Linked DNA regions of Mus musculus. The protein of the gene in region 1 interacts with the protein of each later gene in a pairwise test. Links are inferred from orthologs where the notes say so. Each region holds a gene or a part of one and is shown in the gene's direction. Other genes may lie near its edges.

Evidence for each region.
Region 2: the proteins of Moap1 (region 1) and Thoc1 interact in binary tests that used the Homo sapiens proteins (3 or more experiments, as listed by UniProt). The two-hybrid records come from large-scale screens. The link is inferred for Mus musculus from reciprocal best matches to the Homo sapiens genes MOAP1 and THOC1.
Region 3: the proteins of Moap1 (region 1) and Lats1 interact in a two-hybrid assay, tested with the Homo sapiens proteins (2 studies listed by BioGRID and IntAct). The two-hybrid records come from large-scale screens. The link is inferred for Mus musculus from reciprocal best matches to the Homo sapiens genes MOAP1 and LATS1.

The regions. Positions count from the first base shown.
Region 1 is NC_000078.6:102,740,738-102,744,952, reverse strand, and holds the start of Moap1 (modulator of apoptosis 1), read left to right. Parts: upstream 1-1,291; 5' UTR 1,292-1,410; exon of another isoform or gene 1,411-1,454; intron 1,455-1,558; coding exon of another isoform or gene 1,559-1,581; 5' UTR 1,582-1,664; coding exon 1,665-2,723; 3' UTR 2,724-4,215. Other genes in the region: Tmem251 (transmembrane protein 251), read right to left, coding at 1-353, 787-866; Gm20604 (AK010878-Moap1 protein), read left to right, coding at 1,559-1,581.
Region 2 is NC_000084.6:9,956,768-9,961,063, forward strand, and holds the start of Thoc1 (THO complex subunit 1), read left to right. Parts: upstream 1-1,412; 5' UTR 1,413-1,425; coding exon 1,426-1,479; intron 1,480-1,543; exon of another isoform or gene 1,544-1,654; intron 1,655-2,330; coding exon 2,331-2,404; intron 2,405-2,487; coding exon 2,488-2,548; intron 2,549-3,718; coding exon 3,719-3,785; intron 3,786-4,296. UniProt on the Homo sapiens protein: Component of the THO subcomplex of the TREX complex which is thought to couple mRNA transcription, processing and nuclear export, and which specifically associates with spliced mRNA and not with unspliced pre-mRNA.
Region 3 is NC_000076.6:7,708,617-7,712,250, forward strand, and holds part of Lats1 (serine/threonine-protein kinase LATS1), read left to right. Parts: intron 1-1,848; coding exon 1,849-2,031; intron 2,032-2,232; coding exon 2,233-2,339; intron 2,340-3,634. UniProt on the Homo sapiens protein: Negative regulator of YAP1 in the Hippo signaling pathway that plays a pivotal role in organ size control and tumor suppression by restricting proliferation and promoting apoptosis.

The DNA.
Region 1 (4,215 bases):
GACGATTGCAGATAACTGCCAAGCATATGGGGATAATACAGTAGCCCACTGTTTTGGGATCCGCTCTCGTACAAGAATAAAGGAACAAAAACATCTGTAAGTACGGAATCAAGAAAATAATTGTCCACAACCAAAAGGGCAGGGAAAGTAACCGAGCTTTCAAGGAGTGTGTCCATGTGGTTCCTTCCCGAGGCTCCTCAGGGTGCTGCAGAATGTGTTCCAAAGCCAACCTGTTGTAAGTCTCATTGATTTCAAAAACATAATAAAACGCTGCTGCACTTGCTAGCAAATACAGTCCCACTCCAATCCATCCCATCCGCTGACGGAAGTTCATCATTCTCCATGCTCTGTGCCTTCAATGCAAACACAGAAAAATTATTGTTAAGGTCTAATAATGTTGCCATGGCAACTATTCCAAGTGCACATGATTTAAATTCAAGAGTTCTGAAAAGCACGAGCATTTTAAGATTTAACAGCTGTAAACAGCTTACAGGTGGTTTTATATAACAGTTGTAAGCACATAAAAATACTGGTTTCAGTGTCTACTGAGTGCTGTTATTTATGTGAACCCCAGAGTGAATGAATCATCACTTCTTGCTTGAGTAGACCCAGTACACCTTCGTTTCAGATAATGAAACATCTAGTTTCCCCACAGGACGTTGCTCTTGACAGTTGAAATGCTTTCTGGCTTAACACTATTTCAGACGTGGGCACTGGGTTGAGTTCTACTCGTTAAACCAACGTCGGAGTCCCCAAGTTAAGACGGTAACTCTTTCAAACACTTACAGTGGTCCCGAAAATCTTCCTGTTCCCCCTGCAAGCGAGCAAGAGTCACTCAGTTCTGAACAGTCAGGTGCCTTTGGCATTTCAGAACAAGCCACCTTAAGAGAAACCCTCTGGGTCGCGCAGCTGAAGAAGGTGAGCGCGGCGGCGGGAGCACGAGCTAGTAGTGATTAAGCTCAGCGTGACTACGGCTGGTCACGCGGCGGCGGCGGGCCCCGTCGCCCTCCGGAGCCCCAGGCGGGGGGAACCACCTGGAGATGCCGGGCCCGCCCCCCACTGCACCCGCCGCCGAGCTGAGCTGGGCAGTGGCGCCAGGCTTGGCCTGCAGAGGCCCGAGCTCGGCTCCCGGCCGGACGCCGGGCCAGCCTGACAGCCAAGCCGAGCAGCCCCGGGTCTCACCTTCCTGTCCTGAGTGGCCCGCCCGCTCGCAGTCCCGGATACCGCCGCATTCAGAGCTTCCGTCTAGGGCCGGAAACGCGCGCCGGCCTCTCATGACGTCAGGCTGTCAGCTTCGCGCCGCCTCCAGAGGCGGTTGTCTGTTCCCTGAGGCGTTTGCTGCGGTCGTTCTTCTGCCCTCGGCCGGGAGGCGGGCGCGGGGAGCCCGGGTCTCTCCTAAACCCCGCAAAGGTCAGACGTCCTCTCCGGGACCCAAGCGATGTATCTACGGGCAGGTGATCCTGATGGCGTTCGTTTCTAAGCGCCTGTGGCGGGTGGGCGGAGGAACTGCTCGGGAGTCAGACACGGTTAACTTAACGTGGATGCTCTGTTTTCTCAGGCTCCCGGACCTCTGCGTGTTAAAGAGACGAGCACGCACATCACTGTAAGCGGCGGCGGCGGCGGCGGCGCCCTGGTCGAATTAGAATTTAAATACTCTGAGCACCATGACACTGAGACTTCTAGAAGACTGGTGCAGAGGGATGGATATGAATCCTCGGAAAGCACTATTGGTTGCCGGCATCCCTCCGACCTGCGGAGTGGCAGACATAGAGGAGGCCCTGCAGGCTGGCCTTGCTCCCTTAGGGGAACACAGACTGCTTGGGAGGATGTTCAGGAGGGATGAGAACAAGAATGTAGCCCTGATTGGGCTTACAGTAGAGACTGGCAGTGCCCTGGTCCCCAAGGAAATACCTGCAAAAGGAGGTGTCTGGAGAGTGATCTTTAAGCCTCCTGATACTGATAGTGACTTTTTGTGCAGATTAAATGAGTTTTTAAAGGGGGAGGGCATGACGATGGGTGAATTAACCAGAGTTCTTGGGAATCGGAATGACCCTCTCGGCCTAGACCCGGGCATAATGATCCCTGAAATTCGAGCACCCATGTTAGCACAGGCATTAAATGAGGCCCTTAAGCCTACCCTGCAGTATCTGAGGTACAAAAAGCTGAGTGTGTTCTCAGGCAGGGATCCTCCAGGACCAGGTGAGGAAGAATTTGAATCTTGGATGTTTCATACTTCCCAAGTAATGAAAACATGGCAGGTGTCAGATGTAGAGAAAAGAAGGCGGTTGATAGAGAGCCTTAGAGGTCCAGCATTTGAAATTATTCGAGTCCTCAAGATAAACAACCCCTTCATTACAGTTGCAGAATGCCTGAAGACGCTTGAGACAATATTTGGGATTATTGATAATCCTAGAGCATTGCAGGTCAAATACCTTACTACTTATCAGAAGACTGATGAAAAGCTGTCTGCCTATGTTCTAAGGTTGGAGCCTTTATTGCAGAAACTGGTTCAGAAAGGAGCAATTGAGAAAGAAGTTGTGAATCAGGCCCGTCTAGACCAAGTCATTGCTGGGGCAGTCCACAAATCAGTTCGAAGAGAGCTTGGGCTGCCGGAGGGTAGCCCAGCCCCAGGCTTACTGCAGTTGCTGACACTGATAAAAGATAAGGAGGCCGAAGAAGAAGAGGTCCTCCTTCAGGCCGAATTAGAAGGCTATTGCACTTGACCCAAGACCCAAGGCTGTCATGAGCAGAACAAGATGGAAGAGCTCATTGCAGAGATCAGCCCATCCACTCTTTATGCTGCCAAAGTAACTCGCCCTTTGTCGTGTTGTTTACTGAATGTCTCCCCAATGTTTTACTGATAAAAATGATGTCATTCTACACTGATAATTATTTAAATCAAAAGACCATTCTGCTAGTACAGTGTCCCAGCAAGTCAAAAGTTTATATGCATGTTTAATAGTCATATGTGATGGTGCTATCAGTTATCAATAGTTTTCAGGTGTTGCCCACATTTATGCTGAAGACCCTGAGCCAAGGCTGGTTAAGATATTTAGTTTCTTTTATTAAAATCAGTTATCGATTCTGTGCAATCAAAAAGCACAACTGAATGCTGTGGTCAGTTCTACAACTAGTTTTAGGTTTGTGACTATCTGATATGTTGCCAAAACGTCTGCTTCTAAATATCATTTTCTTGGAGTAATAAAGAAATGATAATAAAATATTTGATCTTTGTATACATTGTAATACTACATTTGAAGGAAAATAATTTTTTGGCTTTGTTTTTAAGACAGTTTCTCTGTGCAGCTTTAGCTGTGCTGGAACCCACTCTATAGACCCAGGGTAGTCTCAAACTCAGAAATGTGCCTCCTGAGTGCTGGAATTAAAGGCCTGCACAACTACACTAGGCTGAACAAAAGTTTTTATAGTGTGAATCTGAAAGCCACTGAAATTACAGACTTAGTTCTTTGAACTCTTGGCACCTAGGGGATAGGAACTTGCTTGTTTGACAGGAACCAGACTATAAACAGATTGTGGCGAGTAGTAGGCCCATCAATATTGAATTTTGAGGGAGAAAGGGAAGATGAAGGTTTGTGTTTTTCCAACCCTGGTGCTACACACCTATAACCCCAGTGCTTAACAAGTAAAGCCAAAGTCAGGAAGACTGGCCTCTCAAGGCCAGCCAGAACTACAGAGGGAGGCCCTACCTCCAAAGAGAAAACTACATACAGGGAAACTAAGATCACCTGGGAAATGGATGTATGCCCAAGACGAAGCAGGCAGTAATGAGAGCTGTTCTGGTTCTTGCAAAGCTGCTGTTCTCTCTACTAAGGGAGGGAACTACACAAAGAATCAAGGCCAGACTGTCACCGTGTGTACATGTAGTCTTGGGAGTGTGATAGATTACTCTGAGTTAGGAATACATGGAAAGTTTCCTTATGTTCTCCACTGCAGAATGGCATGTGGACTCTTGAGAGCTGTGATTCTGCTCATGTTTGTATAGTGGCTTAAGATACATTATGCACTGTCCTGCAGGTCACTCATTTGCTGCCTCGGTGAGAAACTTTACATTTTGTATAGACACACAAGCATTAATAAATGCCACGCCTCTTCTGTATGTGAGACCCTAAGCTGAGGGGGTAAACTCGACAGGATAATCCCTGCTTTGAAGGTTTATTCAGACTCAGTATTAATGGCTGACATTGGATGTATCCT
Region 2 (4,296 bases), on another chromosome or scaffold:
AATTTATTCAACCAATGCTTTATACAAAGGGTCTAAGAAATGTTTATTGAATAAACAAATGGAACTCTAACCACATTTTTATGGATAAGTCAAGAAACTCCGTCTCTTCTGTTCAGACTTTTGTATTTGAGAGCTTAGGTCTTGTAGATAGCTATCAATTACCTATGGTAAAATGATAATCAGGGATCAATAAAGTGTATTTCCAAGTTAATAATTTTCCCAATTTTGCCTTTCTATAACCAAACTTCAGTTATCTCTTGGCTAAAACAAAAAAGATTGCAATCATCCTGGTAGTCATCATTATTCACAATTTCCTTTAGTGGCAAGATCCTGCAGCTAATTTTTCCTGCATTCTTACTGGCTGTGAAAATTCTCTTGCCTTTATGTAAGTACTTATTATTCTGTAGGTTAACTATAATTAGATTACTGTCATTCAGCTTCTCATTAGTCAAACTTCTCTAGAGAAAAGAGAGGCACATGAGGTAATAATGATCACCAGTTTGCAAGGTATGCCTACAACCTAGATGCAGTGCCACCCATTTTCCAAGCAGCAATGGCCTGTATTCCTCATAGGTCTTCAGTACAGTATAGTTCCGGGTAAAGATATGAGTATAGTAGTAAGTACGCCAGACATGGTGGCCCAACCCTGTAATCCCAGCAATTGGGAGCCAGTCAGGTGAATCTCTGAGTTCAAGACCAGCCTGGCCTACCTAGAGCGTTCCACGTTGGCCAGCGATACATAGGGAGACCCTGTTTCAAAATAATAGTAACAATAAAATAACTATCCGGCCACTTCATTCTTTTCTTTTTTTTTTTTTTTTTTTTTTTTTGGACAGGGTTTCTCTGTGTAGCCCTGGCTATCCTGGAACTCACTCTGTAGACCAGGCTGGCCTCGAACTCAGAAATCCGCCTGCCTCTGCCTCCCAAGTGCTGGAATTAAAGACGTGCGCCACCACGCCCAACTGGACACTTCATTCTTCATAACAGCTCTGAGAAACTTCAGGATCCAAGGGCCACCGGGCTGTCAGACAAACCCGAAATCTGTCACCTCTCTGGCACTCAGACTTGGGGGTGGGGAGGGGGCGTTAAGTGACGCCGCAGTGTCGCTACTACTTCAAAGCAAGCCACTTCTGCGGCTTCTCGCGAGCGCTACCTTCCGGCACCGCCCTTGAAGCGGCACCAAGCCGTCATTCACCCTCTAGGAAAACCAGCCTTGCCGTGCCCAGGGCGGAGCTGACAACACGAAACACCCTAGGCCGCTCCACTGCTAGTGGAGTCCCAGAGCCCGGCCTACGCGCCACATGGCTGAGCCACACCGCACCGGAGATCTTCACCGCTGGCCACTCTAGCCGTTGCCGTCTCTTTGCTCCCAACCTGACGTCATCACTGGGCGCCGCAGTGCAGTGGTGGGCACGCGCAACCAAGATGTCTCCGACGCCGGCGCTTTTCAGTTTGCCGGAGGCGCGGACGCGATTTACGGTGAGCTGAGGGGCTGAAGGCCGTGGTTCTGACCTGGCGCTATTCTTTCCCTTTCTCTCGCTGAAGGGACTGAGGGATTTTCGCCGCCGGGTCCGTTCCTGGCCCCTTCCGGGACTGACATTAAGGGAAAGGCGCACTGGCTACGCGTCTGTGGGTCCTGACCCTCCCTCCGCGGGCAAGTCCCGAGACCCCTGGTCGTTACCGTCGTCCTGCGGGCGAGCGTGGAAAGCTCACCCAGGCTAGCTCAGTCAGCTTCAGCTCATTAGCTAGCTGGGCGGGACGGGTTTCTCAGGCAGGAGCCCTGAAGTCAGTTTCCACCCCGCCAAGAAAGGAACCTCTCCCTCTGCCCCTTGTCCTCAGTCCTGGGGGTAGAACGTGCCAAGCAAAGAACTCCACTACTGAATTACAGCATTTAGATAAGTAGTTCTCAAGCTTTGCTTTGTGGTATTGTCTTTTGGATTGTTGTTGTTTAGTCAGGGTTTTGTTATGCAGCCTAGGCTAGGCTGGAACTCAGAGAATTCAGGTTGACCGTAAACTGATGTTTCCCCAGCACTGGTTACATGATGCCCCATCAAACTTAGCAAGGTTTTTTTAAAGCAGGAAACATAGATTGGTGTGATACATAGGAAAGGGAAACCTGTGGCGCAAATGTCTAGTTAGCTCTTGGCAGGTTTTCATGGGATAAGGATTACGATCACTAGAAATAAAAGTTAATAAAAATGACTGGCAGAAAATATTTCCCAGTTTAAAACATTTTTTTTTTTTTAGTTAGAAAGACTTATAATTGATGAATGGTAAATTTTTATAAACAGCAAAAGCTTTCTACTTATTTGTCATTTTTATTTTTGTAGAAATCTACCAGAGAAGCCTTGAATAACAAAAATATCAAGCCGTTGTTGACTGCCTTCAGTCAGTTACCTGGCAGGTAAAGCACACTGTCCATGAAAAGAGGACTCCATGATGTTTGTGAACTATTTGTGAAATGAAGGTATTTTATGTTTTTAATAGTGAAAATGAAAAAAAATGTACCCTTGACCAAGCTTTCAGAGGTGTTCTGGAAGAAGAAATTGTAAGTATTTACCCCCTTTGTTAAAATATGCTGGCCGGTTAATAAGTCATGTTGTTAAAAATTGCTTTATTATTAGAATGGATATTTAAACATGACATGTTTTCTGGGCATGAGCATTCTGCCTTTGAGACAATGCATTAGGCTCTTGATGGCTCAGGTACAGTTTAAGCTTTGATGATAAGAAATGGTTTGACATTCAGTCTTAAAGAGCAAGAAGTAAAGACTGACTCAGGGAGATGCCTCAGCAAGTCAAGGCACTTGCTACAGAGCGCCATGTCCTGACTTTGGTCTCTAGATCCTAGATGTTGGAAGGAGAGGACTCCTGCAAGTTGTCCTCTGACCTCCATAAAGAACACACACAGGTACACAAAATACAGTTTTTAAAATGTAGTTTTAAAAGTAGAGTCTCACTTTGTTATATAAATGATGACACACTGTGTAAAAGTGGTCTAGTCCAAAGATGTTAAGCATAGAGCGAGGATTCCATGTCCTCATTTTCTTGTGGGATTTTTCCTCAGCTATAAGCATACATAAATAACTAAGGCTTGTTTAACCCTGCTGAAGAAATTTAACCATGAAGAATCTAAATATTACCTTTAGCAGGGATCCTGAATGAAAGATTTTTTAACATTTATATTTGATTAAGCAGAAATTGGGTCCCATGGTGGTAGATTCTCTTCTGATGACCATAATATAGTATCCCCCCTCTTTTTGTCAGATAATTCTGGGTCAGACCAATTGATCTTTTTTTCAGCTTTAATCGTTTCTCTGTTATGAGGTGCTAAGAAAGTCACTTTTCCTATTGTTACCTTCCTGCAGAAGGCCCTCTGCTAAGTCTGCAGTGTTACTATGGATTCAGTCCAGGCCCTGCTTTTGTCCTGCTGTTGCCTTTCACCCACAACCTTAGAACTTCTGTGCCCAATAATCTTATAACCGTAGTCATGCAAAAGTTAACATTTCACAAGTTGGGTTTTGATTGACTCACTCTTTACTGCTTGATATACTTAGTGTGTATATTACTGTTCATGGTTTTTCATCTTATAAAATAACTTTGTATAAGATATTTTCATTCCTGTTTGTATGACTGCTTAATTTCATAGAACTTGTCTTTATTGTTAACAAATTAGTGCAAATTCTTGCTTCTAAATAAACTTGTTTCTCTGTTGGTAGATAAATCATTCCGCATGTGAGAACGTTTTAGCTATTATTTCTCTTGCTATTGGGGGAGTGACCGAAAGTAAGTATCTTTCTGTTTCTCCTAAAAGTTGTTTTAGATCTGACCTGTTTTATTTAAGACTCTCGACATACCTCTTCCTCTGTCTGGTTTTGTTCATCTTTTATGTGTGTTGCTAGAGACCAAATATAGGGCCTCATGCATGCTGTGCTACCACTGACCCACACTCACAGCCCCTGCTCATTGTTTGACTCCTTCCTTTGCCAAGAAGATGTTCCTACTTACTGCTCATCACGATTATGTCATGTACATTACAGTTTGTTTGTTTTCAAGTGTTTTAATCATATATCAGTACTTAGTGAGCATTTATTGTATGCATGTACTAAGTTAGGATTGGGAGGTTCAGTGTAAGAGTCTACTGGGTAATGCAGGGCAGACGTGTGTGAGTGTGTGAGTGCTGTAAGCGCTATGGTTAGAGTTTGTTGATGAATTTTAAAAAGTAAGATGAGCTTGGATCTGTGACAAATACCTATTATCCCACACTTGTAAGGCTGAATCAGGACAGTCAGAAATT
Region 3 (3,634 bases), on another chromosome or scaffold:
TATACAGTTCATGTGTTTTCATGGGCATGTGTGGAGGCAGAGGTTTATGTCAAGTGCCTTCCTTGATGGTTATCTTAATTTTTACAGTTATGTTTATATATTTATCTGTCTATGGGCACAGTGTGTATATGCCATAATGTTTGGAGGTCAGAGGACAACTTGTGGTAGTTGGTTCTTCCTATCTACCATGAAGGTTCCAGAGATCCAGTTCAGGTCATCAGGCTTGGTGACAAGCCCCTTGACCAGCTGAGACATGTCGACAGACCTTTTTTTTTTTTTTCCCCACCCTATTTTTGAGACAGGGTACTGTACCTGGAACTAATGAGTTTTGATAGGCTAGCTGGACGGGAGTTCCAGGGGTCCACCCTGTCTCTGCCTTCCCTGGGGCGGGCTTATGGCACTGGTTTTTACAGGGGTGTTAGGGGTCCTTAGGCGTCTGCAGCTATCACTTTACTGACTGAGACTCTGCTTTTCTTTTTTTTTTTTTCATTTCCCATTTAAGCAACAACCATCACCACCACAACAAAACAGAGCAAAAACAAAAACAAACCCAAAAACCACCGACCTTTATTGTGTGTGTGTGTGTGTGTGTGTGTGTGTGTGTGTGTGTGTGTGTGTGTGGACATCAGAGGACAATTGCCACAGTTGCTTCTTCACCTAAGGATTAAACTCGAGTCCTGAGGGACTAGCTGTCTTGCTGGTCTTCTTGGGTTTTTTGTTTGTTTGTTTGTTTGTTTGTTTTCGAGACAGGGTTTCTACGTATAGCCCTGGCTGTCCTGGAACTTACTGTGTAGACCAGGCTGGCCTTGAACTCAGAAATCTGCCTTCCTCTGCCTCCCAAGTGCTGGGATTAAAGGCATGAGCCCGGTTGTCCTCTTGTTTTTGAGATAAGTTCTCTCTCTATAAAGCTCTGACTTCCTGGAACTCAATATGTAGATGAGGCTGGCCTTGAAATCACAGATGCCTCCTAAGTGCTGGGATTAAAATCATGCTACATAGCAAGGTTGAGGCCAGTCTGGGTTATAATGAGACATGGTCTCAAAAAAAAAAAAAAAAAGTTAGAGCTCAAGACATGGCTCAGCAGCTGAGAGTACACACTCCTCTTGCTGGGGACCTGAGTGTTTAGTTCCCAGCACCCATGTAGTTAGAGCACACCTGCCTGTATCTCCAGTTCCAAGCAGACCTGACCCTGCTACTTCTCCGGGCACTGTACACACTCATGTGCATATACCCGTATGTATACACATAATGAAGGCATCTTCAAAAAGAAAAAGAAATGAATAGGAGCCAGCAAAACTGTGCTAGGATCACAGGTGCATTCTACCACGCCCCATCATTGCAGCTCTGGGCATGGAAGCCTAGCAAGGCAAGCACCGAGCAAGCTGAGACCCACCCCCACCCTCATCATCAACTGTTTCTTACTTGTATGTTGGATTGTTGTGCTTCTCCCTGCCAGAATGTGAGCTGAGGGGAGAATCTTTCTGTTTATTGTCACTTGCTGAATGAGTAAAACTGATGAAATGTGTTTTAAAATCCCACTGGGGTAAAAGTAATAAAATTAGTGTGAATGAGATACTTTTAGCCACGACTCATGACTTATATTGTTATCATTTAACATTGAATACATTATCGAGTCCTCAGTTTCTCTTAGTTCAAAACTTTTCCTGTTGCTACCTCAGCAGTCTCCCATTAGTAATATTACCACTGCCTCCAGTGATTTGATGTCCCTCATGCACTTAGCCATCCCAGGGAAGTATTACTGACCCAGCATCGTGACCAGGGCTTATCAGGCTTGGGGTGGCTTTGGTCCTGTAGCTTTCACTTCAGCTTCTCCTTTTTCTTGCACAGGGGATCACCCACGGCAAGATAGCATGGATTTCAGTAACGAATGGGGAGATCCTTCCAATTGTCGGTGTGGGGACAGACTGAAGCCACTGGAGCGGAGAGCTGCTCGCCAGCACCAGCGATGTCTAGCCCATTCTCTGGTTGGGACTCCCAATTATATTGCACCTGAAGTGCTACTGCGAACAGGTAAAGCACTTATTTTTTTCACCAGTATTTCAGTAGTATTTTAAAGCAGCCAACCTTACTTTAGAATATACCCTATTTCTTTCAGGTTTAAGATAAAAGTGCTTATTTTACATTATAAAGTGTTAACATAATGCTAATGTCTGTATTCTGAGCATTTTAAATGCATTCTTGTGAATAATGGTATAATTTTGGTACCTTTAGGATATACACAGCTGTGTGACTGGTGGAGTGTTGGTGTTATTCTTTTTGAAATGTTGGTGGGACAACCTCCTTTCTTGGCACAAACCCCATTAGAAACACAAATGAAGGTAAGGTGTAGCCTGCATGAAAAGTCATCAGCCCTTCAACCGTGAATCTTCAAGTGTGCTCTCGTACTCATGTGTCTTTCCTGAAACACTTGAGACAGAAGTATTCCATTCACATTCTTTCAGATATTGTTTTGTTTTGAGACAGGGTCTCAAGTGTGTTGCTCTGAGTAATCTGGAATTTACCATATAGACCAGTTGGCTTCAAACTTGTAGAACTCTGCCTCTGCCTCCAGATTTTTAAATGCTTGCATATTCACACTAAGATTTTAAACATGACATCATTGTATATGTTAGCCAGCCTGATGGTAATTTTACATTGTAGTTTTAGTGTACCTTTATTTCTTTATGGTTGGTTTGGTTTTTTGGAGCAGTAAGATTCAAGCCATGGATATGCTAGACCTTTGCTCTAACATTGAGTTGTACCCCAGCTCCTGTGAATTCTTTGTGAATGTAATCAACATAGCTCAGGTATAGAGCTCTCTACTTATGATATCATACCAACATTAAGAATTTTTATGTTTTTTAAAATGATTTATTTTACTTATATACTACACTGTAAGCTAGCTGTCTTCAGACACACCAGAAGAGGGCATCAGATCCCATTACAGATATGGTTGCTGAGAATTGAACTCAGAACCTCTGAGCTCTCAGTGCTCCTAACTGCTGAGCCATCTCTCCAGCCCCCGAATTTTTATGTTTTAAAGTATTTCAGATTTTGAAGTTTTTGGATTGGGAATGTTCAACCTGTTTAAGCCTAGCATAGCTTTACACACCTTAAATTCCAGGACTTGTTAGACAGAGGAAGATCTCTGTGAGTACCAGGATAGCCTGGTTTACTTAGCAAGTTGCACAACAGCCAAGGCTACTAGATCCTGCCTGTCTCAAAAATCAACAAATGGGGATGGAGAAATGGCTCAGCAGTTAACAGCACTGACTGCTCTTCTGAAGGTCCTGAGTCCAGCAACCACATGGTGGCTCACAACCATCCATAATGAGATCTGATGACCTCTTCTGGAGTGTCTGAAGACAGCTACAGTGTACTTACATATAATAATAAATAAGTCTTTGGGCTGGAGTGAGCAGAGGTCCTGAGTTCAAGTCCCAGCAACCACATGATGGCTCACAACCATCTCTCCAGGTACAGTGTACTCATACATAAAATAAATAAATATTTTTAAAAAAATCAAACAAATGGCTGGGCAGCAGTGGCATAGGCTCTCAGGAAGCAGAGGCAGAGGCAGGCGGATCTCTGAGTTAGCAGACAGCCTGGTCTACAGAGCTAATCCCAGACAGCC